Linked DNA regions of Neurospora crassa OR74A. The protein of the gene in region 1 interacts with the protein of each later gene in a biochemical or structural test. Links are inferred from orthologs where the notes say so. Each region holds a gene or a part of one and is shown on either strand. Other genes may lie near its edges.

The links.
Region 2: the proteins of arp-3 (region 1) and NCU02418 form a complex in vitro, tested with the Schizosaccharomyces pombe proteins (2 studies listed by BioGRID). The link is inferred for Neurospora crassa OR74A from reciprocal best matches to the Schizosaccharomyces pombe genes arp3 and dip1.

What each region holds. Positions count from the first base shown.
Region 1 is NC_026502.1:2,534,717-2,538,574, reverse strand, and holds arp-3 (actin), read right to left. Parts: upstream 2,549-3,858; 5' UTR 2,357-2,548; coding exon 2,322-2,356; intron 2,239-2,321; coding exon 2,216-2,238; intron 2,149-2,215; coding exon 1,921-2,148; intron 1,872-1,920; coding exon 1,825-1,871; intron 1,768-1,824; coding exon 1,681-1,767; intron 1,619-1,680; coding exon 785-1,618; intron 729-784; coding exon 663-728; 3' UTR 501-662; downstream 1-500. Other genes in the region: NCU01757 (asparaginase), read left to right, coding at 3,561-3,790, 3,845-3,858. UniProt on the Schizosaccharomyces pombe protein: Functions as ATP-binding component of the Arp2/3 complex which is involved in regulation of actin polymerization and together with an activating nucleation-promoting factor (NPF) mediates the formation of branched actin networks.
Region 2 is NC_026507.1:2,561,583-2,565,533, forward strand, and holds the start of NCU02418 (hypothetical protein), read right to left. Parts: upstream 2,801-3,951; 5' UTR 2,583-2,800; coding exon 2,528-2,582; intron 2,453-2,527; coding exon 1,920-2,452; intron 1,858-1,919; coding exon 700-1,857; 3' UTR 1-699. Other genes in the region: NCU02417 (L-A virus GAG protein N-acetyltransferase), read right to left, coding at 3,941-3,951.

The DNA of each region.
Region 1 (3,858 bases):
TATGGTACCGACCTCTATGAAGGCATGCAGAAAGTTGCATAACCTTTTGCTCCTTGCCCGGCGCAAAGTAAGCAATCTGATCACTGAACCCTCCAAACTGTGAATGCTCTCTGGGAACACGGTCGGTTTACTGTGAGGTGACGTCCGAGCATGTCAGGCAACATCTTTCAACATGACAATCGAGCCCAGTCCTGATTAGAATCTAATCAATGGGCTGAGAATAGGAACAACATTGAAAAAATGAAGAGAAAAATCAGCAAGTTGTGAAACTGATGCGAAGCTATCGGTTAGCTTGCCCGATGGGAGTTCGGCCAGTTCCAGAACTGTCGGGCCATATCAGGCCACCCGGCGCGAACCGGTGGTCGTGGTGCTGACACATCCTTGCTTACCGAGAGTTACAGTGAATGCCGTCAATGGCTTGGCACGCCGCCTCCGGAACCAGCCGATCGGTACCATTAAGCCCCCCTTTTAAGGGGACCGTTGCTCTGCGCAACGGATTCCTAAACATCAACACAACAACAGACACATTGGCCGTCTACGCTGACCCAACTTCACTAGCATTAAGTAGTTCCTCTTTTCTATTCATCGCCATTATATAAGCATCGGCGCCCGCTGCCTGCCAAATAAGATGCGGACTCGCTCCTGTACACAAATAACTACGCTTAAGATCCACCAGGTCCTCCGAGCAGAGCGAACCTGCGCACGATGCTGGGTCCATATTCTTGGTACTGTAAAGATCCGTCAGCAACCAGACTGCCAATGGTAAAAGGGTAAAGAAACATACCTCTGCCTTGGTGTGGCAGTACGACCGGAACTCGGGCGTCTGACCGAGCAAGCTACCACCAAACCACGGGCCGTGCCGTTGCCTTTTGTGGGTGATAACCTGGACATCAAGACCACCGCTCTTTGCTCCACCGCTGCGCACCTCGCTGGCCTTGATTCGCGTATCGACAAGCTGCTTGATATCGCGCTGTAGCCTGCGACCAAAGTCCTTGTAGAGCGTGCTGCCACCCGAAAGAACAATGTTCTTGTAGAGACCACGACGGACATCGATGGGCGAAGACTGAATGACACCATCAACAACCACGGGCAGGGGCGTAAGGAAATCGGACGAGTAAATCTCGGGGTTGAAGAAGATTTCGGGCGCCATGAAACGCTCGTAGCCAACATCAACCGTAACTTGGCGGCCACCGGGCTGGGTAATGGTGTGCTTCAGGAATCGGCTGCGATCGCGGTCGTACTTGGCAAACTCCTTGACAATATCCGGACAGACGTAGCAGTACTCCTCCTTGATCTCCTGGGCCGTCTTGAGGGACGAATCGGGCTCGCCGCGGTCACGGAGAAGCGACTGGACAAAGTAGGTGATATCGCGACCGGCAATAGGGATCGACTTGATGGACGAGCCGATAACGTAACCTTCGGCGACCGGGATAACGTGTGTCACACCATCACCCGAATCAATGACAGTACCGGTCAAGGATCTGTCCTGGACCTTGGATGATGTCCAGGAAGCCGCAAGGGCCAGAACGGCCTGGACGGCAATGTAGAGACCGGCGCAGTTGAAGGATTCGAAGAAGATCTCGGCGGTGTTTTCGCGGTTCTCGGGAGGGTTGAGAGGCTGAATCGACGTGTCAGTGCTGCAGACGTAGTACTGATGTGGCTTGGAAAGTGTAGTCTTACGGGCTCAGTGAGGAGGAAGTGGTGGTCCTCAGGCTCTACTCTCAGATACTTGAAGATGGAGTTGGACCAGAACCTTTCCATGTGATCCTAAGCTCCAGTTAGCTCTAGGCATTTGTGACATGCCATCTAGCAGCCTGAACGCACCCAGTTCTCGATCTGTCCGTGTCTGATGGGATAGTGCAACCCGTAGCCTAACACCGTCAGCACCCATTTCCGTTGAGGCGGTGTAGACCAACGTACCAGGTCCATTGGCGGCCGCTACGGCCTCGTCGCCGATAAAGTAGTCGAGGTCTTCGGTTCCGCGCTTTGCTGAGAGATGGCCACCTGGACCCGCGCCGCCGGTGAGGAAGGATGGCTTGTTGGCTACGGCGGGGCGGCCAGAGCCCGAGCCGCCGGTGCCTGCCGAGGGGCTTTTGGTCGCGATGGCCGTCGGGAATACGAACGAGGGGGAATCATTGCCGGCGAAACCTGCAGACGACGAAGAGCTTGGTCAATCGGTGGTCATTGGATATCTTGGGGTGTCGGAGTCGCGAACCTAGCTTGGAGAACCCCGTGCCGCTGGTTAGGGGATGTTAGCGATGACGGCCCCGGAGCTGTTAAGGAGCGGGCGGGGTGGAGACGGGACACTTGGATGCACGTACTTGTCCATGACAACGGCGGGGGTTGTGTTGGCCATTGTTGCGGTGGTGTGCTGCTACGCGCAGCTCGTGATGATTGCGGTTTGGTAAAGCAACGGCTGTTGTTAGTTGGTGATGGATGAAGTGACGGGGCGGGAGCGTGGATGGGTAGTGGATAGGCCAGGCGGGAAATGGAGGTTGATGTCCAAGATTGTACGTGCCTGGCCGAGCTAGCTCTCCTTACTCGTCTGGCTGACAGCGCTGCGTGGTACTGTGGAGGTACCTGTGCGGCTGTGCGCCAAGACCGCGAGGTCCCCGTATGGTACGGCGGTCCATTTAGTCAGTTGTGCATTTCCAGCGACGGGACCTACGCCATAACTGGAGATGACGGAACCAAACACCTCGCTGCCACCTGCGCGCCATCCGAGCCCCCCGAAACCTAACCGATGCCCCGGTCCCAAGCATCGGAGTTTGAAGCACACGGCCCGGGCCCGGACGATGATGGCTAGGAAAAAGTGGGGCCGATCGGTATCAAAACTGTAGCGACAAGGCCAGCCAGACAGGATGTGTCCTTCTAAGAAGGAAGGAGATACTGAATGGAAAATCACCTCCAGCCAGATTCCCTCACACCTGCCATTTCTGTCGGATTCATTTCAGCTTCATCCTCTCGAAGCAAGTCCACTTTGCGGAGAAGCTACACACACTCACAGCTTCTCACTTATCACAACGAATCATCAACCTGTCCAGTGTCCACATTCCGTTTCGTCTCTCTCTCCGTCTCTCTCTCTCTGTCGTATTCTGTATTTTGCCACCTTTGCCTTCACACATCTTCATCCCGCCCACCTACTGTATCCAAAGGGACTCTTCACCCCTCGGGCCACCCTGAGTGCATCATCTAGCTCATTGGGCATCGCTCCAATCTCAAATACCCCTCAAGACATTATCACTACCGAGCATTATTCCCATTCATTGTTTTAGCAGGTTGCTTTTACGAGGGACACCAAGTCCGACCACCCTTTTCATCTCATCCACCCGTTCCGATCTTCTCCAACTCTTCGCCCTTGCCTCGATAAGTCTTTTCGCCCATCTTTGTCCCAAGGCACAAAAGTCACCCATGACACACCAAAACTAAGGACTCTATGTGCCCTCAGAATACAGACTCGCTTGAAAGACACATGCTCGATTACCAGACAACTCGACCTCGCCAGATCACACGCTGCTTCGACTATCTCCTCGAGTCGTTCTATCACAGCTGCGCCCACGATGAGCAGCAAAAATGCCGAGCCCGGCCATGGGTCACCTGAATCAGATATGGACATGTCGGACAGCTCCTCAGAGTCAAACTGGTCTGGTGATCATGAATACGGATTGGACGGTGGTGTCGAAAGGATATGGAAGCGTACGACGAAGCCAGTTGCGGCAATCTTTGTCCACGCAGGTGCAGGGTACCATAGCATTACGAATGAAAAGGTTCACTTGGAAGCATGCAGCGAGTAAGTTGAGTCAAGAGTCATCAGGTGATCCCTTGCTGATGCGGTTGTAACTAGAGCCTCCCGTGTCG
Region 2 (3,951 bases), on another chromosome or scaffold:
GCCTTTTTGCAACTCCTCTTTGGTCTTCGTTTACTACTCAGTCCAAGCTGCCCTGCCCTTGTCTTCCTGAATAGGCATTGCTTGTATAATCTCAACCTTACTGGGGACAGCGCTTGGTTGTGGTAAGAATGCTACGGCAGCCGTTACATTTCATCCTACAAAGGATATACGGAGCCTATGGCTGCCCGCTTTGCTTCTCTCTGATGAAAATGACACACAACATTCAGATTCCCTTATCCAACACCTTCTAACATAACCTCCTCTCAACCTCCTCTGATACAACGCCTTACCTAATATCACTTGGCCATTTTAGGAACCAGCGAAACCTCTGCCGTCCAGTAAGAGTGACAACTGGAATAGTGATCCGCCGGCTAACCCGAGGTGAGTTTGACAAGATACCCCATATAGTGTTCGTCGAAATAACCCTCGAAGGCTTGCAAGCCGATCCAAACTTGTGACTTGGGCAACCTTTTGTCCTCTCCCCTCCCCGCCCCCCCCCCCCCCCTTTTTTTTTTTGTGCCTCATGCCAGGGCAATTCAGGGCTCTATCACGTTTCCTGTGACTGTATCTACAGAATGTCATGTTCGCAATAATCGCATTGCTGGGGCGAGCCACCTTGGTGTTTGATAGAATGCTCGACATCACAGTAAATCCGGCCCGCAAATTAAGATCCTTGTCAGTTACCGTACAAGGCGCTGACTAAGCTACCGGTGTCGACCCAGTTTGGGGTAGCGACTCCGTCACCGGATGTAATGTCGACAAACTGTTGACAGCCCTGAGTTTGCCGCGCCGTGGAGGGGGGAGCTTGGGGGGCTGCTTTTTGGCCACTGGTCCACTCACCTTGCCATCACCAGATACGGCTTCCGCAGCCGAAGCCGCTGTCGGTGATGAGCTGCTAGCAGCAGCAACCCCGTGCTTGTCACCTTGGGCAAATGTGGAATTCTCGATCATCCTTGTTGGCGTATGTGGTGGTTGCGGGGAGACCGGCACACCGTGGCGATGCTTTGGAACAATGGGAAGCGATTTCTGGGCCCTCAGCCGTCTTGCCGGCGGTGGTGACGGCTTTCGACGGCCTGCTGCTTTGTGCCCTTCGGTGGTACTCGATACCGAGAGATTTGAGGTTGTAGTTTCTGGCGTATCACTCGCGGGACCGACGGCAATTATTGACCTCACGGCGTCTTCCGCATCCTCCTGTTCATGCCTGAGCTCACGAGCGAGATTTGATTTTCTGCTTGGTGTTTCTATACCTGGCTTCTCGTGGACGTTTGCAATGACGCTAACGGTACTACCGTTTTGCGCTTGCGTGAGGCTCTTCATGGGAACAGAACTCAAGACGCCCTCATCGTCCACTAGCCATGGAATATTTGCGACACGCTCAACCAAGCGGAGGGTAGTTGGCTCGGGCGGTAGGAAGTGCGCACTTCCTGAGCCACGAAGTATTTCAAGCAAGCTAAGAATTTGATCGCGCTTGTAATGTGGCGGCTGGCTGAGCTGGGTGTGCGATAATAACGGAGCGAGAACGCGCAGATATGTGTGTCTCAAGGTATTCATTTCCACTGGCAAGTCGAGCAGATTACGAATGATGACGTCAAGAAGGACGCGCAAGTCGTTGGTGTAAAAGTATTCATAAGTCGCCTTGGTGGTGAATAGCAGATAGAGCAGCTTCAATATTATCAGCTGGAGTGATGTTTCGGTTGCTCGATTTAGAAGCAAGATGATGTTCTCGCCAAAAGTTCGGAAAGACGGGCCATGGAGGCTGAGGACTTTGACGACTCGGTTTGTGATATGAGTAACAGGCGCAGTTGGGTCAACAGCTCCGGACGCTGACGCAACCATGTATTGCTCGTTCATGACCAGCTTACCCATGGCCAACGTTAGTGGTTAGGTTCATAAAGCGGATTTGGGGCACAACAACATACCAGGACACGAATAACGGCGTAATGGTACGGATCATCCACGTCGTCAGAGAAGGCCTCGATAAGTTGGAAGAGGTAAATGACGAATTCGTCCTCTACCTGAGCCAAGTCTTGATGCGGCAACTTTTCGATGCGAGACATCTCATACATCAACTCGAGAAGTAGCCGGTGAAGACGGCCATCGTGCGCGCCGCAACTCTTGATGAGCTCGAGCAGTCGCAAAAAACATCCTTCGTTGACCATGCGCCGAAATGTCTCTTCCTCGGCACGGCCATCTAGCAGGAGGAAGTTGGAAATGACATGCAACGGCCCGTACTCGTCCTCCTGCAATAGGCTGTATATGATCTGGGTACGGACATAGTCGGCGTTCTGTCTGAAGATGCTGCTAAGTCGGAGCTGTTGGGAACATGTCGCGATGTCGTCTTCATCGTCGAGATAGCGGTCCCGGCCGGTCGCGACCAGTTCAAGCCATGATCGCAGAACGTCGTCGAGGGACTCGGGGGTAGGGCAGGGGGCGGAAAGGATGCTGTTCAGGGCTGCGAAAGGTCTTTGTTCAGCAATTGAAACAAGCGCACCACAAAAGGGGAGGGCCATTTAGCAAGCTTGCTCACCGTGCCAAAACTGCTGCTCGTTCTCAACAGGCTCAGTGACCTCGAGGTCCGCCATGTTCTCAAGCGAGCAGCACCAATGTTGTCGTCGCAACCAATGAACTGGGCATCACGAAAGGCGGCGTGCTGGTATCGCTCGCATAGGCAATGTGTACCTTTGTCGACCTGATCCGCCGCGTTGGATCTACTGGGTTATCGAGGCTGCGCGGGAGGATGTCGTTACTTGGGAAGAAAACGGGCAGTTAAATGCGGCGGATTTAGGGAGAGGCCTGCTCGGTATAGTTCTAGGGTGCAGTCCATGCAAGGCTGTGGGGAGTTCCGTACTTAAAGCTGTAGTGTCCCCCCAGTAGTGACATCGGGGTTGTGGGGGCTGCCTTACCTACCTTAGATAGTACATACCACCTGCACACGTGGAGAGGTCTCTACGCCACTCACCTTCCATCGCCAAGTACATATGTACCTACACAGGTCCTGCGCACGTCTGAAGGTGGGTAGACCGTCCCTCCAAGTACTTGTGATGCAAGACTGCCACTCAAAACGGTGTACGGCAGGCAATGCAGCGATGTACCTCTACCGTACGGCACATGTATGTATATTGCAATCCCAGGCGGCAGCAGAGCCTAAGTAGGTTGGTAACATACCTAGACCCCAACCTGCAAAAAGAGCAAGTGGGGCCTTTCTGTAGGCCATCATTCCATACTTCTACCATCTAAACTTGGTACACCACGCCGGCAGTGTTCACGACTGAAGCTTTAACCACTTCAATATCATGTATTCAACGAACTAGGCCAGTTTGGCCGGCAGACAAGTGGTCGAGTTGATTCCGTTGTCCTAATACATCAACAGTCCATGCCTCCGAAACGTCCTCAAGCAAGTCTTCTTTGACTCTATAACATATGTGTCTGCCAACATCTCAACTCATGACTGAGCTTAAGGTCCACAACCCACGAACCTTACACTTCACCGCAGTGTCACCTTACATCTAAAAACCTCTTAACGCCCCAGGCCTCGTGGGCAGGTAGATACCATGAGACCGGCTATTCAGTATTCATGGTTGTCAACGTTCGGGCCACGCAGCATGCGGAGAGGTGAAAACCCTCATTTGGGGTGAACCCGTGGGGGTGCCAATATGCTCAAGCTATGGCTCCATACCTCGACCTGATCATCATCACATTCTTCGACAGGCATCTTTCTTTCCGTCATGAGGTACCGTTATAGAAACCAGACGAATATTCAGGGCGCTAGCCACGATCCACATTCCTTGTTATCCTGTCCATCTTACACCCGAAGCCTCCAGCATTGGGCCCCCAAGCCGTGGTGCGTCGATGGTGAAGGGAAGGACAGGCACCAAAGGGGTTTTGATGGCGGCGCACTGCTGCTCCCAGCAACGGCTCGGACAGTCTTTGACTAGCAGATTCATCGAAGCG